Linked DNA regions of Macaca fascicularis. The protein of the gene in region 7 purifies or fractionates together with the protein of the main gene of each other region. This does not show direct contact. Links are inferred from orthologs where the notes say so. Each region holds a gene or a part of one and is shown on either strand. Other genes may lie near its edges.

The links.
Region 1: the proteins of KBTBD7 (region 7) and OBSL1 purify together in Homo sapiens (affinity purification with mass spectrometry; 3 studies listed by BioGRID and IntAct, with this or other methods). This does not show direct contact. The link is inferred for Macaca fascicularis from reciprocal best matches to the Homo sapiens genes KBTBD7 and OBSL1.
Region 2: the proteins of KBTBD7 (region 7) and LLGL2 purify together in Homo sapiens (co-immunoprecipitation; 4 studies listed by BioGRID and IntAct, counting the BioPlex papers as one, with this or other methods). This does not show direct contact. The link is inferred for Macaca fascicularis from reciprocal best matches to the Homo sapiens genes KBTBD7 and LLGL2.
Region 3: the proteins of KBTBD7 (region 7) and LLGL1 purify together in Homo sapiens (co-immunoprecipitation; 4 studies listed by BioGRID and IntAct, counting the BioPlex papers as one, with this or other methods). This does not show direct contact. The link is inferred for Macaca fascicularis from reciprocal best matches to the Homo sapiens genes KBTBD7 and LLGL1.
Region 4: the proteins of KBTBD7 (region 7) and MTERF4 purify together in Homo sapiens (co-immunoprecipitation; 3 studies listed by BioGRID and IntAct, counting the BioPlex papers as one, with this or other methods). This does not show direct contact. The link is inferred for Macaca fascicularis from reciprocal best matches to the Homo sapiens genes KBTBD7 and MTERF4.
Region 5: the proteins of KBTBD7 (region 7) and TJP1 purify together in Homo sapiens (co-immunoprecipitation; 3 studies listed by BioGRID and IntAct, counting the BioPlex papers as one, with this or other methods). This does not show direct contact. The link is inferred for Macaca fascicularis from reciprocal best matches to the Homo sapiens genes KBTBD7 and TJP1.
Region 6: the proteins of KBTBD7 (region 7) and TMEM160 purify together in Homo sapiens (co-immunoprecipitation; 3 studies listed by BioGRID and IntAct, counting the BioPlex papers as one, with this or other methods). This does not show direct contact. The link is inferred for Macaca fascicularis from reciprocal best matches to the Homo sapiens genes KBTBD7 and TMEM160.

What each region holds. Positions count from the first base shown.
Region 1 is NC_088386.1:115,501,281-115,505,529, reverse strand, and holds the start of OBSL1 (obscurin-like protein 1), read left to right. Parts: upstream 1-1,437; 5' UTR 1,438-1,742; coding exon 1,743-2,754; intron 2,755-4,249. Other genes in the region: INHA (inhibin alpha chain), read right to left, coding at 393-618, 780-875. UniProt on the Homo sapiens protein: Core component of the 3M complex, a complex required to regulate microtubule dynamics and genome integrity. It is unclear how the 3M complex regulates microtubules, it could act by controlling the level of a microtubule stabilizer.
Region 2 is NC_088390.1:81,955,663-81,959,191, forward strand, and holds part of LLGL2 (LLGL scribble cell polarity complex component 2), read left to right. Parts: intron 1-822; coding exon 823-920; intron 921-2,890; coding exon 2,891-2,972; intron 2,973-3,251; coding exon 3,252-3,367; intron 3,368-3,529. UniProt on the Homo sapiens protein: Part of a complex with GPSM2/LGN, PRKCI/aPKC and PARD6B/Par-6, which may ensure the correct organization and orientation of bipolar spindles for normal cell division.
Region 3 is NC_088390.1:18,351,807-18,355,805, reverse strand, and holds the start of LLGL1 (lethal(2) giant larvae protein homolog 1), read right to left. Parts: upstream 2,804-3,999; 5' UTR 2,726-2,803; coding exon 2,645-2,725; intron 1-2,644. UniProt on the Homo sapiens protein: Cortical cytoskeleton protein found in a complex involved in maintaining cell polarity and epithelial integrity. Involved in the regulation of mitotic spindle orientation, proliferation, differentiation and tissue organization of neuroepithelial cells.
Region 4 is NC_088386.1:137,015,949-137,018,872, reverse strand, and holds the end of MTERF4 (transcription termination factor 4, mitochondrial), read left to right. Parts: coding exon 1-346; 3' UTR 347-1,871; coding exon of another isoform or gene 1,872-1,892; 3' UTR 1,893-2,419; downstream 2,420-2,924. UniProt on the Homo sapiens protein: Regulator of mitochondrial ribosome biogenesis and translation. Binds to mitochondrial ribosomal RNAs 16S, 12S and 7S and targets NSUN4 RNA methyltransferase to the mitochondrial large ribosomal subunit (39S).
Region 5 is NC_088381.1:7,488,299-7,492,433, forward strand, and holds the start of TJP1 (tight junction protein 1), read left to right. Parts: upstream 1-1,307; 5' UTR 1,308-1,398; coding exon 1,399-1,571; intron 1,572-4,135. UniProt on the Homo sapiens protein: TJP1, TJP2, and TJP3 are closely related scaffolding proteins that link tight junction (TJ) transmembrane proteins such as claudins, junctional adhesion molecules, and occludin to the actin cytoskeleton.
Region 6 is NC_088393.1:55,046,203-55,050,505, reverse strand, and holds the start of TMEM160 (transmembrane protein 160), read left to right. Parts: upstream 1-1,482; 5' UTR 1,483-1,492; coding exon 1,493-1,700; intron 1,701-3,703; coding exon 3,704-3,796; intron 3,797-3,937; coding exon of another isoform or gene 3,938-3,966; exon of another isoform or gene 3,967-4,160; coding exon 4,161-4,303.
Region 7 is NC_088391.1:20,547,994-20,551,980, reverse strand, and holds the start of KBTBD7 (kelch repeat and BTB domain-containing protein 7), read left to right. Parts: upstream 1-1,179; 5' UTR 1,180-1,491; coding exon 1,492-3,549; 3' UTR 3,550-3,987. UniProt on the Homo sapiens protein: As part of the CUL3(KBTBD6/7) E3 ubiquitin ligase complex functions as a substrate adapter for the RAC1 guanine exchange factor (GEF) TIAM1, mediating its 'Lys-48' ubiquitination and proteasomal degradation.

The DNA.
Region 1 (4,249 bases), on a different chromosome or scaffold from region 7:
TAGCTTCTCAGTCTCAGCTACCTGGGAGTAAAGAAACAGGGTCTGGAGCAGCGAGCAGAGGCAGAGATAGGAGGAAAGGTGGCAGGAAGGGGCCCAAGCCCAGACATCTCCATCTCTAGAGACCCCTGGTCTCCCAGCGCATACCTCCCAAATGCCTCCCACCTGCCATGCACTCTAGGTACAGCCTCTCACTTAATCCTGAGAGGTTGGCGTTATCACGCATTTTACAGATTGGGAGACAAGAGGCATAAGGAGGTTTAATAACTGGCCTATTGTTGCAAAGCCACTGAGTGGTAGGGCTGGGATTCAAACCCAGGTCCACCTGGCCCGCAAACCCATGCTGTGCCTTGCTGCTTCTCAAAGTCACCCTGCCAGTTCCCCCACCTCGTTACCTGTGGCTGGGAAAAGGATGGCCTGGGAGACATCCTCCTCCTCCGTGGGCTCAGAGCCCCTGCGTGTGAAGCCCCCCAGGGCATGTCTTCGGAGCAGCCGCCTGACTCCAGGGTCCCCACCTTCCCTGGTCACCACGGGGGACCCCAAGGCATCCAGGAACAGGGCCCTCACCTTGGCCAGAACAAGCTCCCGGGCCAGCTCCGGCCCTTGGCAGCTGTGACCACCCTGTGGGGCCAGCAGCAAGAAGAGCAGTAGGGGCAGCACCATAGCTCACCTGGCCCTGCTAGCGGGGAACCCACACCCTCCCCCGTGCCCTTTCTGCCAGGGTCTGCCCAGGGCAGCTCCACTCTCCCCATCCCACACCCACCCTCTTCTACCCTTCTCACCCAGTCTTCTCCAGTCCTTTCCACGCCCCACAGTCCGAGTTGCCCCTGCCCGTGGCATTGAAACCTCCTATCTCTGACGCAGATGTCTGTGGCCATGAGCCTTATCTCCCACTCCCGCCAGGGATGTTGGGGAGGGACTGGGGAGGATTTCGCCCCAAGCGACCTGACTCATACAAGCAAACATTACAACCCCTTCTCCTACACACACACACACACACGCACACACGCACTCTCTCACACACACACACACATCCAGAGGTTTACATCAGGTGGGACAGGAGCCTGGGAGCTGCAGCCGGCCAGCCCCGGAAAGTGTCATTTGTCAGGGAGACACAGTGCACCACCCCTCAGACCTTCTGGGGCCCCTTTCAATAAGCAGCTGCTGGGCCGGCCAGCCCTTGGGGGAAGGGCTGGAGCCGGGGCTAGAACCGGGGCTAGGGCCGGGGGCAGGTGGTCCTGCCTGCTCTATACTTAGCCCAGTGGAGCCAGTCTGGGCTCTTGTCCTCCAGCTGTGTCATCAGAGAATATTTTTGGGATTGGCAGCTGCAGGCGCCTCTGCCACTCAGGCCCAAGCCTGGCGGGAGGCTAGGGACCTGGCGGCTGGAGGTGGGAGGGAGGAGGGGGAAGAGGCCCAAGCTGTGGGAGGGGGCTGGGAAGAGAGGCTCCCAAGAGCAGGAAGCCAGGCAGCGGGCAGGAGAGGCTGCGGGGCCCCTCGCTGGAGAGGCAAACAGGAAGGACTGCCCCCTGAGCGCCAGGCTTCGGCCCGGGAATCGCCGCCGCCGCCGCAGAGCTGCAGCTTGGGGCCGAGGGTAAGGAGGCGAGCCGGGAGCAGGAGGCCCGGGAGAGCTTCGCGGGTACCCGCGCCTGGTCCGCAGCCGCGCCCCGGCCCCGCCGCCCCTGGCCTCTGCTCGCCCTCGGCCCACCCTCCCCGTTGGCCGCTGCAGGCGGTCTGAGACAGCTGCGATGAAGGCGAGCTCAGGGGACCAGGGGAGCCCCCCGTGCTTCCTGCGCTTCCCGCGGCCGGTGCGGGTGGTAAGTGGCGCCGAGGCGGAACTCAAGTGCGTGGTCCTGGGGGAGCCGCCACCGGTAGTGGTGTGGGAGAAGGGCGGGCAGCAGCTGGCGGCCTCGGAACGCCTGAGTTTCCTGGCGGACGGCGCGGAGCACGGCCTGCTGCTGAGCACCGCACTGCCTACCGACGCCGGGGTCTACGTGTGCCGCGCCCGCAACGCGGCGGGCGAGGCCTACGCGGCGGCCGCTGTCACCGTGCTGGAGCCACCGGCCTCCGAGCCCGAGCCGCAGCCCGCCGAGCGCCCGCTGCCACCGCCGGGGTCCGGGGAGGGCGCCCCGGTCTTCCTCACGGGGCCCCGATCCCAGTGGGTGCTAAGGGGGGTGGAGGTGGTGCTGACGTGCCGGGCGGGGGGCCTCCCTGAGCCCACGCTGTACTGGGAGAAGGACGGGATGGCCCTGGACGAAGTGTGGGACAGCAGCCACTTCGCGCTCGAGCCCGGCCGCGCCGAGGAGGGCCCCGGCGCGAGCCTGGCGCTGCGCATCCTGGCAGCTCGGCTGCCGGACTCCGGCGTCTACGTGTGCCACGCCCGCAACGCGCACGGCCACGCGCAGGCGGGGGCGCTGCTCCAGGTGCACCAGCCCCCTGAGAGCCCGCCCTCGGACCCCGACGAGGCCCCCGCGCCCGTGGTGGAGCCGCTCAAGTGCGCTCCTAAGACTTTCTGGGTAAATGAGGGCAAGCACGCCAAGTTCCGCTGCTACGTGATGGGCAAGCCCGAGCCCGAGATCGAATGGCACTGGGAGGGCCGCCCGCTGCTCCCGGACCGCCGCCGCCTCATGTACCGCGACCGCGACGGCGGCTTCGTGCTCAAGGTGCTCTACTGCCAGGCCAAGGACCGTGGGCTCTACGTCTGCGCCGCGCGCAACTCGGCAGGCCAGACGCTCAGCGCGGTGCAGCTGCACGTGAAAGGTACGGCGGCGCCCGGGGCCTGGGGAGGGGCCTCTCGTGTCCTCCGAGGCCCTCCGAACACCAGCCCTCCTCGGTGCGCAGCACTGCCCCGAAGACTGGAAGAGAGGAGGTCCGCGGCAATATTAAAATATCAAACCCGCCCGCCTCCCGCTCTCCAGGGATTCGGATTTACTAGGTCTCCCGGGTACTCAGGAACTTCTTAGCAAACTCCCCAAAAGATTCCGAGGCAGATGGTGGAACACCACTAAGGAGTGATTGATGTACAAACCTGGAGGGCGGTAGAACTCTTCTCCCCTAGTGGTTTTCAACGTCTTTGTTATTTTACTTCTCCTTCCCCAACTGAATTCACAACCAGAGTCCCAATATATGAGACAGATAAAGGAGTATTTTGTGGGCCTAAATTGCTAAGTCTGCTTGTATAACAGGTACTTCTAAAGCATCAGTGAGAATAAGGAGGCTATTTTATTGAATACAGGCATTTGAAGTGAAGACTGCATTCATGAGTCCAGGCTCTGAACCCTGTGGGAACAGCCTGGGTGCGTCTGTCACCTTGAGAAACAAGTGATTCAGTAGAAAGCTAGACAAGGGAGGACAAATGTCCTGTGTGTTTTTACTGTTCTTTGATTAAACTACTCCCCACGTTTGCAAGAAGAGGAAGGTGAAGGAGAGAAGGTTTATATTTCAATGTTGAATCACCAACAATATCCAATAAACGCTTACATTCTCATAAACAGAAAATTCAAAGGGAAAAAAAAAAAGCACACCCCAAACTCACCATTAGGTAACGCTCCCCATAATAGGATTTCATCACAATGCAAAGGATTATACCTTCACTAGTTATTGTCCAGATTTTTCTCTTGGAGGAAAAAAAAGTTGGTAAATTCTCCTGAGTCCTGCCTGGCACGCAGTCAAGGATGTGGCCCCTGGGCTGCGGTGGTGGCCTCGCTGGTACAGTTCAATGCACACAGATTTGTCAGGCTGGTGCTGATCTGGACCTCCATCAGGAAAGAAAAGCCCCGAGGGAAGGCTGGAGGAGCTTCCCAGAGTTGGATACACACACACTGAAACTTGCTTCTCCAGCAGCCCGAGTTAATTCTCTAGTTTCTAACATCCTGTTTTCTTTTCTTTCTTTCTTTCTTTTTTTTTTTGAAATACACTTTTGAAAGGGGTTAAAATAGCCAGGCGAGGTGGCTCACTCCTGTAATCTCACCACTTTGGGAGGCTGAGGCAGGAGGATCACCTGAGGTCAGGAGTTCGAGAACAACCTGGCCAACATGGCGAAACCCTTTTTCTACTAAAAATACAAAATAATTAGCTGGGCGTGGTGGCACGTGCCTGTAATCCCAGCTACTTGAGAGGCTGAGGCACCAGAATTGCTTGAACCAGGGAGGTAGAGGTTGCAGTGAGCCAAGATTGCACCACTACACTCCAGCCAGGGCAAGAGAGCGAGACTCCATCTCAAAAAAAAAAAAAAAGAAAAGAAAAGAAGAAAAAA
Region 2 (3,529 bases), on a different chromosome or scaffold from region 7:
CCACTGCACTCCAGTCTGGGTGACAGAGTGAGACTCCGTCTCAAAAAAAAAAAAAAAAAAAAAAAAATTGTGCAAACATTCACAAGTGCAGAAGACTCAAAGGACTTACACTGAGGTGTTAGCAAGGGTTACTTCTGGTTGTGGGAGTCTGGGTAATTTTTGTTCTTAAACGTCTTTATACCTCCCAAGTTTTTCACAGTGTGTGTGTATTACTTCTGTAATAAATGAAAAAACACGTATCTGCAACGACATTCCAGGAATTCCCTTTCTGGAAAGATGGTTGAAACTCAGTGACAGTAAGAGCCTATGAGACCCAGCTGACTAGGGCCTGGAGGGACCTGGAAGAGCCCAGAGCAGGGCAGAGCCTCCGCGGTACTCTGGGCCCCTGGGTGAGCCCGGAGCTGCGGTGCAACCAAGCTTTTCTCCCGAGAGACCAGTGTCTCCATTGCTCCAAACTCCCCCTACTTTCCCCACCCCACATCCGTAAGGCCCCCATGCCACTGAGGAGGGCTGGGTCCGTCACCCAGGGCGCATGTGGTGGAGACACCAAATCAGTTCCTGGAGAGCATCGAGAGGCTGGCGTGGCATCCAGGAGGATGAGCTCGAAGGAGTGGCAATGAGGCCAAGGGCAGAGTCACAAAGGGACTGGGGGTGGGGCCTGGTAAGTTTGGGTTAGGCTCCAACACTCAGGTGTCTGGGAGGAACCTGAAAGGTTCCGAATCCCTGCTTCCTGCTGGCGTCCTCCAGTGCTGCAGCTCCGGCAGCCATGGTGGCATGAAGGGGAGAGGTCTGCACGCCCACCCCGCGTGCTTCTCGTTGCAGACGGTGGAGCATGGCTTCCCGCACCAGCCAAGCGCCCTCGGCTACAGCCCGTCCCTGCGCATCCTGGCCATCGGCACCCGTTCTGGAGCCATCAAGCTGTATCCTCCGTCCCCTCACTCCCAGCCGGGCAGGGCCTTGGGGTGGGTGAGATTTGGGGAAGGACATCTTTTTTTCCTTCCTTGCCCATGGGCTGTTGGGATAAAATGAGAGACTTTCCTGATTTCCAGCTTTGGACATGATTTTATTCCAAAATGAGGTGGGTATGGTTGATGGTGGAGTGGGCACCTGGGCATGGTGGGATGTGACCCTGTCCTTTGCAGGAGGACAGTGAGGTTTGAAACAGACTGAGGAGATACAGGCTTATTTTGTCCCTTGTGTCCTTTCAAGACCATTCATGTGGTCTGCTCCCTTTACTCAGTTTCCCCCTCTCACTTACTCCTGGAGGTTTCAGGAATCCCCCAGTCCTGGGCAGGGGCTGAGGATGCTGGGGGGCTCAGAAACCTGTTTTGCAGGGGTTGTGTTGGTGGATCCAGGGGGAAGGACCTGATGCCCGTGTCTCAGCCAGTGCTCAGTCAGTGAGTGGCTGGCTGGTGTGTCAGTAGCAAGGCCTGGGCCCTTCTGTGCCCCTGCCTCCCTCAGTTCCCCACCTCACCACCAGAAAAGCAAGTTACTAGGAATGTTTTTAATTTAAAAAAATTTTTTTCAGCACTTTGGGAGGCTGAGGCGGGCGGATCACTTGAGTTCAAGACCAGTCTGGTCAACATGGTAAAACCCTGTCTCTACTAAAAATATTTAAAAAGTTAGCAGGGTGTGGTGGCACATGCCTGTAATCCCAGCTACTTGGGAGGCTGAGATGGGAAAATCATTTGAACCTGGGAGGCAGAGGTTGCAGTGAGCCGAGACTGCGCCACTGCGCTCCAGCCCGGGCAACAAAGAGCAAGACTCTCTCTCAAAAACAATTTTTTTTTTTTTTTTTTTTTTTTTTTTTGTGGAGACAGGGTCTTGTGATCTTGCCCAGCCTGGTCTTGAACTCCTGGGCTCAAACAACTCTCTCACCTTGGCCTCTCAAAACGCTAGGGTTACAGGCATGAGTCACCGCACTCCCAGCCTGCAGTTTTGATTTTTAACCTATCATGATAAGAATCAGAGGTGGACTGGCCCCAGGTCCCTATCCACAAGCAGAGGTGGGGTGGCCTTGGGCCAGGAGAGCTAGGCTCAGGCAGCCATCTTCCAAATTCCACCCCCACCCCCACAGGCGGCAGAGAGTGGAGAGGGCTCTGCCTGGCAGGGACGGTCCTTCCCCGGCCTGAGGCTGGACGTTGTCCAGTTGGGTCATCTTTTATCCAGAGCACTGGTTCTGGCCGACTGGGGGCTCCCGGTGTTTTCAGAGATGAAAAACCGGATCAGGTTGGGCACCCCGCCAGTCTGATCTGTGCTCCCAGGGCAGGACCCAAGGGAGCTGAGAGATGAGGGACCACCTCTGCCAGCTTGACTGCCACCTCCAGCGGAGCCTGACGTCCCTCTTCCCCTCTGCCCGGTGTGGGGGAGGGGTATGGAGCGCTCGAGTTCCAGGCTGGGCTGGTGTACACAGAGGGCCAGGGCCTTGCTGCCGGCTCAGCCTTCCCTCACTGGTTAATCATTGCCAGGCCACAGCCAGACTTTGGTTACCAATCCCTGGTGCCGAGGCTGTTGGGGATAGGCCGTGTGTTTTTTCACAGGTGCTACCAAGCGACAGCCAACACGTCTGTTGTAGCTCAGAATCAGGGTGGCAGCCTGACGGTTGCCAGGGTAGGGCTTCACCTTTCTATGGAGTTGCTCCCACCGGCCTGACTGGGAAAAATCTCCCAGGGGTCGGGTCACTGGCCTGGTGCCCCAGGGCCAGGGCTGTTGTATCTCCTCCCCATCCCAGGCTCCATGCATGAGTCCTGCTGCCTGCGGGGAGGGCAGCCCCTCTCTGTGTTTGCACTCATTGCATGTGGGCCCCAAGGGCCTGGCACTCAAGGTGGGCAGGGGATGGTGTCAGGGGATGGTGTCTGGCCTTCCAGAGCTTTCCTGAGCCTGCTCGTAGCTATGGAGCCCCGGGCGTGGAGTTCATGGGGCTGCACCGGGAGAACAACGCAGTGACGCAGATCCACCTCCTGCCCGGCCAGGTGAGGGACCTGGGGTGGGACAGGAAGCCACCTCCACACCCTCCTTGCCCTCACTGCTTCCAGCAGGGCTGGTGTGGAGAGGCTGGCATTCAGTGGCCCTGGGTTTGCTGCTGCTGGAAAGGCCTGGGACCCCCTCCCTTTCCACAGGTGGGGCTCGTGGGCCACGCTGGGAGTGGCCAGGGGGTCTTTGAAACAACCAGCCCAGGCTGGGCGGCCCCAGTGTGTAAAGGCCTTGCTGGGTAGCAAGACCACATGCTCCCATCCCTGTGCCCTCGCCAGTGCCAGCTGGTCACCCTGCTGGATGACAACAGCCTGCACCTTTGGAGCCTGAAGGTCAAGGGCGGAGCATCGGAGCTGCAGGAGGATGAGAGCTTCACACTGCGTGGCCCCCCAGGGTAAGGGCTCAGTCCCCAGCCCCTTCCACTCCCAGCCCAGCCTGACCCTTGCCCTTAGCTCTGGAGTGGACTCACCCTTCGTGGGGCCTGTTGCGCCCCTGGCAGTGCCTGGCATGCGTTTGACCCGATGCATCCCCATACTCAGGTGCTCCGAGTGGAGTG
Region 3 (3,999 bases), on a different chromosome or scaffold from region 7:
GTCCCTCCCCTGCTCAGGATCCTCCTGGGGTTCCCAGCTAAGGGAGGCTTGTGCCTCAGGGCCTTTGTACCTACTGCCCCTCTGCCTGGCATGCACTTCCTCCAGCACTTCCTGTCGCTCAGGAGTCATCTCCTCAGAGAAGCCTCCCTAAGCCACCCTGGCTGCAGCAGCCGCCCTGGCCACACCTCCCTCCCCCTCGCCCTGCTTTATTTGATCCACAGCACTGGCTAACATCCCAACTACCGTCTATTCTATTTTTTTGTTTTGGCTTTTCACTGTCTCCTGCATTAGCATATCAGCCACCTGAGTTAAGACATATTTGTCCTTTTTGATAACTACTGTTGTCCCCAGAACCTTGTAGACCTCACACACAGTGGGGCTCAGTATTAACAGAGAAGGCACACTCCACAGGCGACATGTGGGCTGGACTGGGATTTGAACCCAAGACTCGGAGTCCAAAGTCCCTGCTCACTCCTGACCTGTCTCCCACCCCCCAAACTCAGGAATCAGGGGCCTATTCCCTAGCGATCCCCTATGACCCACTTAGGTGACTAAGTCCCTTCCCCAAGACCACCCTACTTTCCACCACTGCTGCCCACACTTCATCCTCAGTGGAGGGCCCTTACTTCCCACCACCCCAAGGCTAGACAGAGTGGGCTGAGCTTCATTCCCACCTGTCTCCAGTCCCCACTGCACATCCCAATTTACTGGCTGAAGAAATGACATTTAGGCCAGGCATGGTAGCTCATGCCTGTAATCCTAGCACTTTGGGAAGCCAACATGGATGGATAGATAGCTTGAGCCCAGGAGTTCGAGACCAGCCTCGGCAACATGGTAAAACCGCACCTCTACAAAAAATACAAAAACTAGCCAGGCATGGTGACATGAGCCTGTAGTCCCAGCTACTCAGGAGGCTGAGGTGGGAGGATCACCTGAGCCAGGGAGGTTGAGGCTGCAGTGGGCTGTGACTGTGCCACTGCACTTCAGCCTGGGTGAGAGTGAGACCCCGTTTCAAAAAAAAGTGACATTTAGCCCTGAGCCTGTTGCTGCCTTTCCCTGAAGGGCCATTCTCCTCTCACCTAACTCTCATAGCCTCCCCAGCACAGAAAACAGGCACTATCTGGGGACCACGGAGCACCAGCTTCCCCTCTGGGCCCCCTCTCAGGTTCCTGGCAGGTTCTCAGCCACCCTGTGAAGGTCCTGGCAGCTCTCACCGGCAACCACTGCAGACCTAGGCAGGGAAACCCTGAGACATCCCAGTGCCTCTGCTACTCCAGGTCCAACCGTCCCAGAGCCTCCTCCAAGACAAGGGTCTCCTCAAGGCAGCCCAGGGCACCTGGCACAACACTGGCCCAGGACCACAGCAGCCCCTTGGAAAAATCCCCGCCCCTCAAGGCTAAAATCCAACCCCACTGACACAGGAACTCGAGAAAGATATTGGTGCAGCTCACTCTGACTCTGGGCAAGCCGTCACCTCTCTCAGAACCTCAATTTTCTCACCTGTATTTTGAAGATAACTCTAATTTCGAAGAGCACTGAGAGGCTCTGCGATCCGTGGGCTCTGGGGTAAGAATGAGGACAAAACCAACGCCCCCAGAGGAGTGAGCCAGGAGCAGGCTGAGGCCCTGCTCTAACATCAGTGCATAGGGAGGCGGGGGCTGAGGCGGCCCCTTTCCCTGGCCCCTAGTGTCCCACTTGGGGAAAGGAAGGAAAAGCCTCCACTTCACTCCACCTTGGTGCGGGGCAGCAGGACAGCTGGCCCATGTGGCAGAGGGAGCCAGGGCCCACAGTAAGGAGAAAAGTAGCCTCATTTCACAGCTAGGGAAACTGAGGCCCCACGATGTGAAGGGCACTGTAGTACACAGCCAGGCATGTCCCCTGGACTCGGGGCCCCGGGCAGGGCAGGGGAGAGCAGGGCAAGGCAGAGCCTGGAGCAGTGGGGGAAGGAAGGAGAGGCTCCTTGAAGGGATTTCCCAGCCGCACCCCCCACAGCTGCCTCGTCCCCACTAACTCTCTCGCCCTCCTGCGTGCCAAAGCACAAAACAAACCGGGGCCCACGGCTGTCCCAAGGGCCGAGCAGGGACGCAAAGGAGCCCCAAAGAAAAAGGATAAAGAGACAGAGAGTGAGCGACAGAGAAGAGGTCGAGAGACTCCACAGAGAGAGAGAGAGAGACACGCAGGGAGAGACAGGCAAAGACTCAGAGACGCAGAGGCAGAAAGAGAAATGAGAGGCAAAGATAGGAAGGGGCAGAGGCAGAGACACCCCCACCACACACACAGTCACAACTGGGGCGAGGGAGCCGGTCAGCGACGGAGAAAGTGGGGCAGAGACCCAAAGACAGGCAAAGAGTCTCAGAGACAGAGAGACCCAGACACACAGAGACTGGCAGACCCAGGGCCAGAGCGGCCCGCAGAGACTCGGGAGCAGACACGGAAAGTCGGCCGGAGACCCAGACCCACCCAGAGTCCGAGCCAGAGCTGGGCCCGAGGAGGGGGTGCGCGGCCCGGCCCAGCCCCCGCCCCGCGCCGCGCTGCATGCCAGCCCCCGCCCCCCGGGCCCGACGTGGCTCCGACCCCGGGTCCCCAGCCCGGGCCCCCGGCCCGCCCCCTCCCACCCGAGCCCGCGCCCGCGCCGCAGCCGCACCTTGTTGAAGGCGAAAAGCTCTTGCTTGAGCTTCTCGCGCTGCGGGTCGGCGCCCTGCCGCCGGAACCGAAACTTCATCATCTTGCGCCCGGCTGCCGGCGCCGCGCCCGCCGCCGCCGCCGCCGCCGCCGCCGCCCGCAGGATGCGCCGCGCGGCCCCGCCGGTCCTGAGGCGCGGGCGGGGCACCAGGCGGCCCGGGCGCGGGCGCGCGGGGCCGGGCCTGCACGGGGGTGGGCGCGGGGCGCGACGGACGCACCGTCCGACCAATGAGCATGCCCGCCGTACCGCCCGCCCCGCCCCTGTTGGCCAGACAATGGTGAACTGGGCCCCCGGGCTCGGCCGGGCTCGCGAAGGGACGCCCGCCTAGCCTGCGCCGCGGCGCGGGGCCTGCCGGGACGTGTAGTCCATGAGCCGGGGCTCCAACGCGGGCGGCTGGGGAAGCGCTTTGGAGGGGGACTGGCGCATGTTCCTGGGCTTGGAGAAGATTTTTTCCTCCTCCCAGAGAGCGAGCGACGTGCCCACTCAAGTAATGGGGCAGCCCTATTCCGAAAGCCAAGAGATCTCTGACTGGAACAACTCCCTGGCCCCTCTGCGCCTCAGTTTCCCCATCTACACCATTGGTCAAGTGATTGCCAAGTTTATAGTTTACCATTCTCACAGAACTCCATTTTGTCTGTTCCTCGCTGTGTCAGAGCACCTCCCACCGCCGTGCTTTTGCCTTGGCTTTATAGTCAGGAATTCTTTCCTCACCCCCAGCCCCTGGGGAACTCCTACACATCTTTCAGGACCCAACGCAAAAGGCTCTGTCACAGTACAGGGGATTCTTTCTTAGCCAAAGAAAGAGACGGGATACCCAGGAGGTGGCATTTGGGACTGTTCTGGGGTTGGATTGGGGCTTTACTGAGATGGGGGAAGGGCCTGCCCCCACAGAGAACAGTGTATGAACAAAGCTTAGCCCTGCCCCTACTGTCTGAGGGGCCGTCTGCCTGTCCCCACCCACCTCCCAGGCCTTTTCTCATCTGGACAATGGCCTCGAGGCTGAACCTTTCCTTCCAGGCTGAGGATAGGTCGCCTGGCTCGGCACTGGGGTTGCGGGAGGTCCTAGAAGCTTAGGTGGGGCAGGTAGGACAGGCCCCAACCCCACCAGCTGTGTCAAGGGAGGAGGAGCTGACCTGTGACCCCGAGGCAGCTGCCAAGCCTTGGGGCCTGGCTGTCCCCCTCCACCCACGCCAGGCCGGCCGTGTTCAGCCCTTCCCCGGATTTGGGGCTGGATCCAGAAGAGGGGCCAGGAGTGAGTGGGGAGGTGAGAGGAGGGAGGATGACGACAGTAAAGCCCCTAAGTGCCTACAGCGGGG
Region 4 (2,924 bases), on a different chromosome or scaffold from region 7:
CTTGCAGTATTCACTAACCAAGATTAAGCAGAGACACATTTACCTGGAGCGACTGGGACGGTACCAAACCCCTGACAAGAAGGGGCAGACACAGATCCCTAACCCACTGGTCAAGGACATTTTCAGAGTTTCAGAAGCCGAGTTTTTGGCCAGGACAGCCTGTTCTTCTCTTGAGGAGTTTGAGGTTTTTAAGAAGCTCCTGGCTCGGGAGGAGGAGGAGTCTGACAGCAGCACATCTGATGACAAAAGGGCAAGTCTGGATGAAGATGAGGATGAAGATGATGAGGAGGACGACGAGGCGGAGGATGATGATGAGGATGAGGACGACGAGGAGGAACAGCTATGATGGAAGGCCTAGAGCAAGGGCCCAGAGATACCAAGGAAGCTTTTCATTCTCTTAAAGCTTTTGGGTCCTTTACTTGAATCTTCTTAAGTTATTTTTTATTCTAAAACTGGTCTCTTGATGAAAAAAATTATAAGTCACCTGAGAGGCAGACAGAGCAAACCAAACCGGAAACAGGAAATGCACGTTTGATCTGTTGTCAGGTGTCTGTGAGGAAGGCCCTGTCCCATCCTGAATAGAACACTTACTTTGAGCTCTTCAAATCAAGGGCACTCAATACATCAACCTTTGGTTTTATTTTTTTCTCTTTTGAATATGTTGGTGATAATTCTGTGACAGTTGGAAGATGGGGTTCATTCTTCTGGTTCAGGAATCACTTTATATTTCCTTCTAGTGATAAAAATAAAATTACGAGAAGGCAATGTGAGGTTTTAGTACATCATAGCACTTTATTTTATGAAAACATGTAGCAGGCTTTCCACAGAAATACTTGTTTTTAATCCAAAAGTCTATTGCTTCGTGATGGCATTCAGTGTACAGCAGAATAAAAGGAAGTTGATTCGTGATGTATTGGTTAATTTTGCAGGCTTCCTAAGGCCAGCAGAACATTGTGGCAGTTTTCTTTATCTTTGTGAAGAACAGGCCCTTCCTGTTTGGGGAGGTTGGCTTTTATGTCAGCTCTTGGCCAGTGGTCACTTCCAGGCCTGGTGTCTCCGGCCCTGTAGACTGTGCTGGCCTGGAGAGTGCTGGAGCAGGTGGAGGCCAGGGAATGGTTCCATACAGTTATCTCCCCTGCCCTGGTTACAGACGGCTTCAAGAACCAGAGAAGAGCACAGGGTATGGAGCAGGTGGGCTGAACCAGGGCCACAGGGAGCGCTCCATGACCCCCAAGGTGGGGGTGGGGGGGTGTGTCACCTTAGGGAACTCAGTGAGTCCAAAGAACAGTTTGAAGTGTTGGGAACAGAGAAGAGGAATTTGATGTAAGCCAGGGATGATCCCTGAGGTAGAGGCCTGTCTCTGATGCCATGAGCTCTAAGAGGGTCCTGGAGGATTGGTACATCCTAGAACATTCCAGTTAGCCCCTCCTTAGGGGAAACTGGCATAGGATTGATGCAGAGAGCATTTTTGATGATAGGACCAAAATTCAAGTCTCCTTGGTAGCATTCTAGGATCGACTAGATTCTAGGATCTGGTAGATTCTAGTGGGTAGAGGCCAGGAATGTTATAAAACATCCTACAGTGCACAGGATGGCCCCACAAGAGAGAATGATGCGGCCCAAAATGTCAGTGCTGAGCCTGAGAAACTCATCTAAGGCCTGGTCCAATAAAGTAATGTGACTGTTCACTCGTGACAACTTCAGATGGTAAATGGACTTAGGATAGTATTATTTTATTTACAAGAAAAATAAGGAGCTGGTTTTTCAGCAGGGTTCCTTTCCCCTATGCACTGGACTACCCTTGGTAGGTGTGAGCTGCATGCTATTGTGGGGATTTGGCACTGAAGTCTAGGTGCTTTTGTTTTCTCCAGCAGCCTTGTCTTAGAGTGTGACTGCAAAGAAAAAGACTTGTTTTGCAAAAGAAAAGCAGCTCGGTGACTCCCTCCACATCGCCACAGCTGAGTCAGAGTCGCTTGCCAGTGGAAGGAGTTCCTGCTAAGGGGAGGTGCAGGAGGTGAGCTGACACCTGAGTGGGGCCCTTGCCTGTTGGGTTCTCCACTGGAGGACAGTGGGCAGAGCAAAGATTCCCTTACTTGTACCTGGTAGCCCACATGCAATGGGGAAAAGGGAGAGTTTGTCTTTATTGCCTTGCTTGGCCATAGGCAAAACTGTTTGGAAATGAGACATTTCACTGTGCCAGTGTTTTCATTTTCTCTTCCATGTGGCATCCCGGTCACTGCCACTCTTCCCAGAACCTAGGCTGCTGTTCTTGTGCCCGATCAGAGGACTAAGTAGAATCCTCTATCTGCACTTGGTTAGATGATCAGTCCATCCCAGTTTCATTAGCAAATGGGTAATTCAGCAACTCATGATTGCTTCTTTCATTTTGATACAGAAATAAATCTTTATGCTCCTGACAGTTTTCTGATTCTGTTATTACTAATGTCCTTGGGTGGACTTTGAGTATTTTCAAGGAAGCCATTTGAGTTTTTAAAAGAAGCCACGTGGGAAACGCTGTGGTGGCCTCTTTGGAATGTTTCAAGAACGAACTGTAATTCCTGAGCACCGGGAAGTCTTTTTACTAGATATTTAATGTGTAAAACATCCCAACAGACGAGTCCTGTGACAGCACAGCACCAAGCTTGGGACTCAGGAGCCAGTTCTCGTTGACACAAAGGCTTCTAAGCTAACACGGGAGCATATTGGCATTTGCTGTGTGGCTGAGGGGTTTGAGGTCCTAGTAGGGAGTAGAAAGTTTCCTAGTAGATTCACCTACTTTTCCAGTGATATCACTCGATCTTAGCATCTGCTAGTAATGCTGTAGCTTACATGGACAAACAATGACGGGTCCCACGGCTGCAGGAAGTCCGCAGTACGTGTTTCTGAACGTGGTTTTCTCTCAGTTCACCCAGTGACCCTTCACT
Region 5 (4,135 bases), on a different chromosome or scaffold from region 7:
GACTTTCCAGAGACTAGATATGCAGTCGGTGAAACTTACTCAAAGCACACTGAATGAGGAAAGCGGCTGTGACAAAAAGGATGAGGATGTCCCGGAGGAAGTGAGGTCCACAAAAAATTTTACATTAAAGGAACTCTGAGACATTGCATGGCATTGGAAGTGCAAAGGATAAAATACTGCGTGTAATCCAAATGTGATGTTTTGCCAAGGCACAGAAAAGGTGTTCTCTTGGTATATAAGAGTTACACTAGAAGAAGACAAGCACTGTTCAAGTTATTCTTAATAAGTTTTATTTTTACAAAGACATAAAACACTTTAATTCTCAATGTTCGAATGTTTTAAACTGTTTTTATTTTTCATTTCCATATACAGTGTATTTGTAACCATCAGTTAAGCGAGTTTTGAATGGCTCTTTTGTTGTTGTTGTTTGTTCTTTCCAAGACAAGGACTTGCTCTGTCACCCAGGCTGGAGTGCTGTGGTGCGACCTTGGCTCACTGCAGCCTCGGCTTCCCCGGCTCAAGCGATTCTCTCCCCTTATCCTCCTGAGAAGCTGGGACTACAGGTGCACACCATCACGCCTGGCTCATTTTTTTTATTTTGTAGAGACAGGGTCTCACTGAGTTGCCCAGGGCTGGTTTCGAACTCCTGGGCTCACGCCATCCTCCCGTCTGGGCCCCCCAAAGTGCTGGGATTACAGGCGTGAGTCACCGCGCCCGGACTGCTTTGAATGTTTTGAGAAAAACTGTCTAAAGTCGTGGAACTATCTTAATTTTTCCCATTTATTATTAAGGTAGTTTTGCATGGTTCAGTCATTTCCAGGGTCCAGAATGACCGTGTAAGCGAGGACTGCATGTGCGTGTAGTACGTATTCACAATATGCATTATGTCAATGTGAAGTCAACCACTTTGGGGTAGAACACATCAATTGATGGTTACAAACCAACAGGCGGTGCTTTTTTTTTTTTTTTTCTTTTTTTCCATCTGTGCTGTAAGTGTGCTGTTGGTATTCTCTTTGGGTGCTAACGGTTGAAAAGGAGCTCCTGCCAGCCGCTGAAAACACCGCGACACGCGGGCGCAGGGCCTGGGCAGGGCGGCCGGCGCGCAGGTGGCCCGGCCTCGCCCAGCGGCTCTGGAGCGGGAGCCACGCCAGCCCGGCCTCCCGCGAGACCCGCACCCGCCCGCCGGAGCGCGCCGCGGGGCCACGGCCTGCAGGGGTGGAAGGGGCGGCGGCGGCGGGAGCTGCGGGCCACGCACGGCGGCGGCGGGAGCGGCCGGGCACGCACGGCGACGGCGGCGGCGGGAGCGGGAGTCCGAGCCACGCACGGCCGCAGCGGCGGGCGCGGCGGTCGCGGGAGCGGCGGGAGCTGTGGCGGCGGCGGATGGCCCAGAGCTGATCTATGCGGCGCCTGGAGGGGCTGTGTCTGCGGCGGCGGCGGCGGCGGCGGGGCCCTGCCCGCGAGCGGAGCGGGGACAAGATGAAGTACCAGAAATACCTGACGGTGCTGCAGATGGCCATCGGCGTCACTCCCTCCAACCGCGGCAGCCTCCTGCCGCTCAAGAGGAAGCTGTGGTGAGGCGGCCGCGCGGGCGCGGAACCGCAGCCGGGCCAGGCGCGGGCCGGGGCGGGGACCGGAGTGGGAGCGGGGGCCGGGGCGGCCGGGGGGGCGCGAGGCCGAGGCTGCCGGGCCCGACGGGGCGCGGGGCGCGCGGGGCGCAGCAGCCAAGGCCGAGCGCAGGGCCGACTGCCGCCTTGTGCCGCGTGCCCGCTGGCTGGTTTCGCCGAGACCCTCGCTGTGCCGGCGGCGTGTACGGCGGCGGGGAGCTGCCGGGACCCCTGGCACCCGCACCCGGGCGTCGGCCTCCCGCCTCTGTCTGTCCTTTCTGCTCCATTACGGCGGGTTCTGGCTCAGAATTTCCAGCCAGGCTCTCGCGGAGACAGCAGAGAATTCATTAGTATCACGGTGTGCGTTTTCAGTTATTTTTCAAAAATTCATCTGCTGCTGAGTGCAGAGTAGAGGACGAGTAAGGCAAGGGGAATAAGTTGGGACATTATTATTGCATTGTCGGGGACTGTATTCTACCTGCATGCGTTCCAGTTCCTCCGACCTGGAGACTGTTACTGAGGTAATGAAGAAAAAACACCTTTCAAGAAAAATGTCTGGACCTTACTGGTTTACGTTGCTGATTATCTACAGGATTGTATATTGCATTTTATTAATCATATTCCGTAATCCAGACGGAATCCTAGGAGCCTCCTAGGTATTCCACTGGCTTGAGATTTAGGCTTAAGGTTCTTTTGCAAAAGAAGTAATCTAGTAAAGGGAAGATGACTACAGAAAAAAGATGCCAGTTGTCATGACAGTCAGTGGTCATTTTAATTTTAGAATTAGTGGTCAATGTAGCTCATAAAGGTTTTATTCAATTCAACTGAACACAGTCTTATTTAATCCTAAGGTTATAGAGAAAGGAGATGAGGCTGCTTTTAGGTAATGAGGAAAGTAATTCCTGCTGTGTAAGACAGTGTGAAAGAATGATCCTTACCAAAGTCTGTAGTGGTCAGCCAAGAAAAAGATGGGTTAAGAAAAAGAATCCTAAAAGTGGAGAATTTTGAAGGTAAGACGAATATGGACAGCAAAGTTCAGATTTCAGCTGTGCCACGTTCTGTGTGACCTTAAACAAGTTCCTGGAGTGTCTGTTTCTTCCTCTGTGAAATGAGAATCTTGTTATCTCCCTCATGGGGATATATACAGATCAACTCTGATAATGAATACGAAGGTGTCTACTACCACTGTGCCTGGCTTAATCATAGGTGCTTAGTAAATCTTAGTGTCTTTCTGCCTCCACCAATTTGTTTTTTAAAAAAATAAATTTATTCTGCAAAAGATATTTTAATGTGCCGGATGCAGTGGCTCACGCCTGTAATCCCAGCACTCAGGCATATGGCCTGAGGTCTGGAGTTCAACACCAGCCTGATCAAGGTAGTGAAACCCTGTGTCTACTAAATAAACAAATAAAACAAACAAACAAATACAAAATTAGCCGGGCGTGGTGGTGCATGACTGTAATCCCAGCTACTCCGGAGGCTGAGGCGGGAGAATCACTTGAACCCAAGAGGCAGAGGTTGCAGTGAGCCAAGATTATGCCACTGCACTGTAGCCTGGGCAAGAGTGAGACTCCGTTTCAAAAAAAAAAGAAAGATATTTTAGTGTGATGAACAGCAAGTGACAACACTTAGAAGACAAGATTAGCCACAGTTGAATTAAAACATGTCTGTGGGAGATGTTAGCAAATAAATGAAGACTGTCACTAACTACAGTGAAGGAAGAAGGGGTAACACTTGAAGATCGCTTCTCAGATTGATGGTATATGGGGGTATGGGAGATACCAGCACCAGTAGTCATATCTCCCATTTTGCTTTTCTCCTGAGCACTTATCAATAACTAACACACTGTTTATTTTACTTATTTTTCATATATATTCCCCCTCTCCTCACTAAAACGTAAGTTGCATGAGGGAGAGCTTTTGTCTGTTTCATCCATTGCTGTAAAACACCTGCAGCTGATATCTGGTTCAAAGGTATCAGAAAGCTTCTCAATAAATATTTGCTGAATAAATGGATTCTTAATAATTTGTGACTGGGAAATAATATGTTAGGGAAATCTGTTTTTTTTTTTTTTTTTGAGACTGAGTCTTGCACTGTTGCCCAGGCTGTAGTGCAGTGGTGCGATCTCGCCTCACTGCAAGCTCCGCCTCCCGGGTTCACACTGTTCTCCTGCCTCAGCCTCCCAAGTACCTGGAACTGCAGGCACCCGCCACCATGCCCGGCTAATTTTTTGTACTTTTAGTAGAGACCGGGTTTCACCGTGTTAGCCAGGATGGTCTCGATCTCCTGACCTCGTGATCCACCTGCCTGGGCCTCCCAAAGTGCTGGGGTTACAGGCGTGAGCCACCACGCCCAGCCAAGGGAAATCTATTTTCTAAATGTTCAGTTTTAAATTATTTATTTATTTATTTGAAATAGTTTTGCTCTTGTTGCCCAGGCTGGAGTGCAGTGGCAGATCTTGGCTCATTGCAGCCTCTGCCTACAGGGTTCAAGTGATTCTCCTGCCTCAGCCTCCTGAGTAGCTGGGATTA
Region 6 (4,303 bases), on a different chromosome or scaffold from region 7:
TGCAATGGCGTGATCTTGGCTCACTGCAACCGGGTTCAAGTGATTCTCCTGCCTCAGCCTCCCGAGTAGCTGGGATTACAGGTACACGCCACCATGCCCGGCTAATTTTTTGTATCTTTAGTAGAGATGGGGTTTCACCATGTTGGCCAGGCTGGTCTCGAATTCCTGACCTCAGGTGACCCACCCACCTTGGCCTCACTTTAGGCGTGAGCCACTATGCCAGGCCATAATTTTTGTATTTGTAGTAGAGACAGGGTTTCACCAGGCTGGTCTCAAACTCCTGACCTCAAATGATCTGCCTGCCTCAGCCTCCCAAAATGTGTTGAGATTACAGGCGTGAGCCACTGTGCCTGGCCTGGCCTGATACTTAGAATTAAAAAAAAAAAAAAGCCATAAAAAATCAATGCTTTGGGTTAATGATCACAATATATTGTTATGTGAAGAAAAATTAATGGTCAGGTGGCATCTTATTTTATATCTGCATAGAAAAAACACTGGACAGGAATACAAGATGGTAGTAGTAATCACTCATTGGTGGAATTACTGTTGAGGTTTACTCTCCTTTCTGAGATCTTCAAGATTTTGCAAAGATTCTCCATTAAGTGCCCCACGTTTTGTTTTGTTTTCTGGCCATTGGAATTGACGTAATTAATACAAACTACAGGCCGGGTGTGGTGGCTCACGCCTGTAACCCCAGTGCTTTGGGAGGCTGAAGCGGTCAGATCATGAGGTCAGGAGTTTGAGACCAGCCTGACCAACATGGTGAAACCCCGTCTTTACTAAAAATACAAAAATTAGCCGGGCGTGATGGCAGGTGCCTCTAATCCCAGCTATGCGGGAGGCTGAGGCCGGAGAATTGCTTGAACCCGAGAGGCGGAGGTTGCAGTGAGCCGAGATCACGCCACTGCACTGCAGCCTGGGCGACAGAGCAAGACTCAGTCTCCGAAGAAAAAAAAAGAAGAAAAGAAAAGAGAAAAGAAGAGGGAGGGAAGGAAGGAAGGAAGGAGGGAAGGAAGGAGAAAAAGAAAGAAGAAAGAGAAGGAAGGAAGGAAGGAGGGAAGGAAGGAGAAAAAGAAGAAAGAGAAGGAAGGAAGGAAAGAGAAAGAAAGAAGGAAGGAAGGAAAGAAATAGAGAGAAAGGAAAAGAAAAGAACTACAATAGGTGTTCAGCGTGTACTCCGTTAAAAAAAAAAATAGAATAAAAACTACAAGTTCCAGCAGACATCTCGCTTACGACTTCTGTAGATCGTCTTTCCCCAAACGCAATGATCGCTGGGATTCGTAGTCCAGTGACAAAATCAAGGAGGGACGCGCACTACCGGCCTAGATGACAGAGGAGGGAATCACTACCATTCCGACCAATGGACAGTTCACGCCGAAACTGAGTGGCGAGCGCATAGCCAATGGGTAAGCCATTCAGCCTGAGTGACATGGGTTGCAACCTACAGGAGGCCCGTGGGGCGGTACGGCGCGCGGCGCCCGTAGTGCGAACCATGGGAGGCGGCTGGTGGTGGGCTCGGGCCGCTCGCCTCGCCCGTCTCCGCTTCCGGAGGTCGCTACTGCCGCCTCAGCGGCCCCGGAGCGGGGGCGCCCGGGGGTCCTTCGCCCCCGGCCACGGTCCCCGCGCCGGGGCTTCGCCGCCCCCAGTGTCCGAGCTGGACCGTGCGGACGCCTGGCTCCTCCGAAAGGCGCACGAGACAGGTCGGTGGCTGGAGGTGGGGGCGGTGTGGATGGGACGGGGGTCCCGGGCGCGCGTGGAACCTCGATGGGGCGGAGGCTTCTGCAGGAAACGGGGCCCCGGCTCGGCTCCGAGAAGGGCTTCAGTGTGAGCGCACGGAAGCGCAGAGTGCAAGAGCGCAGGTGCTTGCAGAGAGGATGGGCTTTCGGGGAGGACGAGGACCCCGCGTAACGGGGCGCCGTAGGGATTGGAGGGGGTGGTAGGGTTGCGCGAGGCAGCCTCGTAGAATCGCGCCTGTCGTGTGAAGAGGGGCTTCCAGGGAAAGCTTAGAGTCTGTGGAGTTGGATACTAGAGGGGTCCGTCCCGATTACAGAGGCCACCACTGTGCAGAGAGCGGGAGTGTGGATCCCCGCAGACGAGGGGGAAGTTCAGGATTGGAGGAGGGGACAACCAATAGGGAAAAAGCTCTCTGCTGATTGGAGGGGGAGGTGATCTAGGCTGCAGGGGGCGGGGCTTGTGACGGAGGCGAGGTCCAGAATGTAGCGGAGTGGCCATCTATTTTTTTTTTTAATTTAATTTAATCTAATTTAATTTATTTATTTTTTTGAGACGGAGTCTTGCTCTGTCACCGGGGCTGGAGTGCAGTGGCCGGATCTCAGCTCACTGCAAGCTCCGCCTCCCGGGTTTACGCCATTCTCCTGCCTCAGCCTCTCAAGTAGCTGTGACTACAGGCGCCCGCCACTTCGCCCGGCTAGTTTTTTGTATTTTTTAGTAGAGACGGGGTTTCACCGTGTTAGCCAGGATGGTCTCGATCTCCTAACCTCGTGATCCGCCCGTCTCGGCCTCCCAAAGTGCTGGGATTACAGGCTTGAGCCACCGCGCCCGGCCAATTTTATTTTTTTAATGACAATGTTTTGCTCTGTCACCCAGGCTTGAGTGCAGTGGCACAATTTTAGCCCACTGAAGCCTTCAACTCCTGGACTCAAGTCATCCTCTTGCCTCAGCCTCCTGCTTAGCTGGCGCTACAGGCATACACCACCGTGCCCAACTATTTTAATTTATGCAGAGACGGGGTCTCGCTTTGTTGCCCAGGCTGGTCTGAACTCTTGGGCTCATACAATCTTGCCTTGGCTTCCCAAAGTGCTGGGATTACAGGCGTGAGCCACCTCACTGGGCCAGTACTGGGTATCTAGATATAGGGTGTGGTGGGCTGTTTGTAAGGGACTTGAATGGGGACGGACGTGGATGAGATTGGCGCAGGCCATACTCGGTAGGAGATGGCGGCATTTGAAGGAAAGGAAGAGCGAGGCTGAAGTGCGGCCTGGGTTAGGAAACAGTTTGCCCCAGAGTTCTGAGAAAGAAGTAAGTAGGCAGGCCGTGGGGATATACATAGAGGGAGGGGGTTGGTCAGGATGGCTCTTCAGATTGGAGGTTCTGCAATTTTGCCCCTGGATTGTCCTCCACATTCTGCAGGGACTATCTTGAATCCTTTATTTTTTTGAGACGGAGTCTCGCTCTGTCACCCAGGCTGGAGTGCTGTGGCAAGATCTTGGCTCACTGCAAGCTCCACCTCCTGGATTCAAGCGATTCTCCTCCCTCAGCTTCCCGAATAGCTGGGACTACAGGCACGTGCCACCACACCCTGCTAATTTTAGTATTTTTAGTAGAGACGGGGTTTGACTATGTTGGCCAGGCTAGTCTCAAACTCCTGACCTCGTGATCTACCTGCCTTGGCCTCCCAAAGTGCTGGAACTACAGGCGTGAGCCACCGCACCCAGCCCTTGAATCCTTAGTGTTACAGAGTTTGTGGGAGAGGGGCACTGAGGTGGAGGCCAGAGAGCATGTGGGGGGATGTGGTTAGGTGAGGGACTTCCTGGAAGAGGTAAGGATTTGGGGTGGGCTTGCCTTGTGGCTGCATGGGGTGGAGTGAGCTGAAGGGGGAGCCCCTTCAGTTTTACAGGGCAAGGGAGATTGAGGAGGTAGGGTTGGGGGTGATGTTAATCCCCCCATGTCTCCCTCCCTCCAGCCTTTCTCTCCTGGTTCCGAAATGGCCTCCTGGCATCGGGCATCGGAGTCATCTCCTTCATGCAGAGTGACATGGGTCGCGAAGCAGCATATGGTGAGTACAGATCCCCACTCTCACCTCCACCAGGGAACCAGGGAATCCAGAGCCCCTACCACCTGTCCTGGTGAGGGTAGACTTTCCCACCCCATCCCACTCCCAGTAGTAAGCACAGAACCCCCATTCTTCCCCCACCAGGAAGACACCCCTCCCATGGGCCCATCTGAATGGGTGGCCCAGGACATGGCTATGGTCCCCTCCCCTCTGATCTGATTCTCAAAGATGCAGTCCAGCCCCTGGCACGGCCCTGCCTCTGTTCCTGTCTCCTCAACCCTGGCTTTGCTCCCAGACCATCCCCCACACCCCCGATACCTTTTCGTCCCCCGACCTTGGCCCTGTCGCTACCCTGCCTCTCCCGCAGGCTTCTTCCTGCTGGGCGGCCTGTGCGTGGTGTGGGGCAGTGCCTCGTACGCGGTGGGCCTGGCGGCGCTGCGAGGGCCCATGCAGCTGACGCTGGGGGGCGCGGCCGTGGGCGTGGGCACAGTGCTTGCCGCCAGCCTGCTC
Region 7 (3,987 bases):
CGAAGAGAATGAATTAAAGTTACAAACTCATTTACTCGGCATACACCCTATGGAGAGGGTATTTCTTGTTATAGCTAAAGTGTGAATCGGCCTTATGTTCCCTGCCTCCAGACCCTATTTTCCTGCCTCAAATCTCTAATACTTGATTTTGATGATTTAACTGTTGATCAATGCAAATATAAAAGACTTTTGTAAAGCATAGGCTATACTGTATGTTAATTCAAGGAATGTCAGGGCATGTACTAATGCTGAATTCTGAGAATCACGTGCTTTTGTACAGAACAAAGTCTGTTTCTTGAAATATTTTGAGTTAAATACTCCCTAAAACTCCTTAATAAAGGCAATTACAGAATCTGTTAATTGATATGTGGAATGGCAGTGAAAGAGACTGTATTAGACGACTTGAAAACACTCATATTTGGAGCTTAATGAAAATATTCCTGCTCCCCAGAGATGAAATGTTAGTGAGAGTAGCAAATAATCTATTTTTATATGCCCGATTTGCATATTTGAGGCCATCTATTAACACCGTTCTTTAGGACCTCAACCTAGTCGTCTAAGACATCCTTATTAAACAAGGCCAATACGTACCATTTAACATTGAAAATAGTTAATGCCCTTCAAAATCTTTCAAAAGAATAAAAATTAAAAACTAAGTTCTTTGTAAAATTTTGCGGTTTAAAATAATTTTAAAAATTTTAAAAATTTTTTGGTTTCAAATTAGTGGGTGCCTCATTTATCATAAATTATAAAAGAGAATCTAACAATTATTGGCTACATTCTAGGCACGGGGTAACGCTTTATTGTTCTTCTAACCAAAAAAATACATGTATCTAAGTATCCTATGTAACGTATCATTCAATCACACAAAACCCTATGAAATACTGGCAGGGCCCGGTGGCTCACGCCTGTAATCCCAGCACTTTGAGAGGCAGAGGCAGGAGGATAATTTGAGCCCTCAGGAGTTCAAGACCAGCCTGGACAACAATAGTGAGACATCGTCACTTCACCATCATATCCAGAATTAATTTCTACTGTTAGGGCAGTCAGCGAAAGGAAAGCTCGCGATATTACACAAACTACTACTCCCAACATGCAAAGCGGTTTCTTTCCCTCTGTCCCCGCCCGGCCGTCCGAGAGCCCCAGCAGGCCTCGGGGCGCGAAAGGCAACCTGGAAGCGGTAGTTCTCCTGGGCGCCTAGCGGGATCGCCAGCGCGGCAGTGGGGCCTTCCGCGGCTCCAAGCCAGCGGGTCCTGTGAGGGCGAGCGGAGGCGGAGAAAGGGCGCGGGAGTGAGAGAGGGTGAGTCAGCCACTGTCTACGCAATAAAGGGAGACCTCACCGCGGGCTAAGGCTGAATTCAGAAGTGCGGCCCGTGCCGCAGTCTGTTCCAGGACGCGGCTTGTCTTAGCGTCAGCGAGGGAAGGTTGAGGAGGAGCCAGAGCCGGGTCCGGCAGCCTTTCTCGCTATCAGCGCCCGTCGCCATCTCCACCATGCAGTCCCGGGAAGACGCCCCGCGCTCTCGCCGCCTCGCCAGCCCCCGCGGTGGGAGGCGGCCCAAGAGGATTTCCAAGCCCTCGGTTTCGGCCTTTTTCACGGGTCCAGAGGAATTAAAGGACACGGCCCATTCTGCAGCCCTGCTGGCACAGCTCAAGTCTTTCTACGACGCGCGGCTGCTGTGTGATGTGACCATCGAGGTGGTGACGCCTGGCAGCGGGCCTGGCACGGGTCGCCTCTTTTCCTGCAATCGCAACGTGCTAGCAGCTGCGTGTCCCTACTTCAAGAGCATGTTCACAGGTGGCATGTACGAGAGCCAGCAGGCCAGCGTGACCATGCACGATGTGGACGCCGAGTCCTTCGAGGTGTTGGTCGACTACTGCTACACGGGTCGTGTCTCTCTCAGCGAGGCCAATGTGCAGCGCCTGTACGCAGCCTCCGACATGCTGCAACTGGAGTATGTGCGGGAAGCCTGTGCCTCCTTCTTAGCCCGACGTCTTGACCTGACCAACTGCACCGCCATCCTCAAGTTTGCAGACGCCTTCGACCATCACAAGCTTCGATCTCAGGCCCAGTCCTATATAGCTCAGAACTTCAAGCAGCTCAGCCGAATGGGTTCAATTCGGGAAGAGACTCTAGCAGATCTGACCCTGGCCCAGCTGCTGGCTGTCCTGCGCTTGGATAGTCTGGACATAGAGAGTGAGCGGACTGTATGCCATGTAGCTGTGCAGTGGCTGGAGGCTGCTCCCAAGGAGCGGGGTCCCAGTGCTGCGGAAGTCTTCAAGTGCGTGCGCTGGATGCACTTCACTGAAGAAGATCAGGACTACTTAGAAGGGCTGCTGACCAAGCCCATCGTGAAGAAGTACTGCCTGGACGTTATTGAAGGGGCCCTGCAGATGCGCTATGGTGACCTGTTGTACAAGTCTCTGGTGCCAGTGCCAAACAGCAGCAGCAGCAGCAGTAGCAGCAGCAACTCTCTTGTATCTGCAGCAGAAAATCCACCCCAGAGACTGGGTATGTGTGCCAAGGAGATGGTGATCTTCTTTGGACACCCGAGAGATCCCTTTCTCTGCTATGACCCTTACTCAGGGGACATTTACACAATGCCATCACCTTTGACCAGCTTTGCTCACACTAAGACTGTTACCTCCTCAGCTGTCTGTGTCTCCCCAGACCATGACATCTATCTAGCTGCCCAGCCAAGGAAAGACCTCTGGGTGTATAAACCAGCTCAGAATAGTTGGCAGCAACTTGCAGATCGCTTGCTGTGTCGTGAGGGCATGGATGTGGCATATCTCAATGGCTACATCTACATTTTGGGGGGGCGAGACCCTACTACTGGAGTTAAGTTGAAGGAAGTGGAATGCTACAGTGTTCAGAGAAACCAGTGGGCATTGGTGGCTCCTGTCCCTCATTCCTTCTATTCCTTTGAACTCATAGTGGTTCAGAACTATCTTTATGCTGTCAACAGTAAGCGCATGCTCTGCTATGATCCTAGCCACAATATGTGGCTGAACTGTGCTTCTCTTAAACGCAGTGACTTTCAGGAAGCATGTGTCTTCAATGATGAAATCTATTGTATCTGTGACATCCCAGTCATGAAGGTCTACAACCCAGCTAGGGGAGAATGGAGGCGGATTAGTAATATTCCTTTGGATTCAGAGACCCACAACTACCAGATTGTCAATCATGACCGAAAGTTGCTTCTCATCACTTCTACAACCCCACAATGGAAAAAGAACCGAGTAACAGTGTATGAGTATGATACTAGGGAAGATCAGTGGATTAATATAGGTACTATGTTAGGCCTTTTGCAGTTTGACTCTGGCTTTATTTGCCTTTGTGCCCGTGTTTATCCTTCCTGCCTTGAACCTGGTCAGAGTTTTATTACTGAGGAAGATGATGCACGGAGTGAGTCTAGTACTGAATGGGACTTAGATGGATTCAGTGAGCTGGACTCTGAGTCAGGAAGTTCAAGTTCTTTTTCAGATGATGAAGTCTGGGTGCAAGTAGCACCTCAGCGAAATGCACAGGATCAGCAGGGTTCTTTGTAAATAGATTTTGAGACACTAAGATGTTTCTACTGCTACGGAATGTATTTTAAACACATATCCTTTCTTTTTCTTGAAAAAAAAAAAGTTGACCAGGACCACAGATTTGGTTTAGAAAGGGTAATATTTTGAAATACTACAAGGTTTAAACAGTCCACAAAATCGACCTGTTTAATAATATACCTTCCTGAAAGTCCAAAATTAAAATATGGAAGCAAGAACTATGTAATTGACTGGGATGCTTGGTAGGTTTTTTTCATTGTTCAAATATTCATTGCACAGTGGATTGTTTTGATTAGTTAGTATGCTTTTTTTTTTTTTAATTAATTCAGTCTTCTGTTAATTTTTAAGTTTTGGTTAGTGCCACAAGGAATTTAACTTTTTAATCTGTACAATAGAAAACTGGACTAGGAATTGTTGGTGGAGTTTTGAAGGATGTAT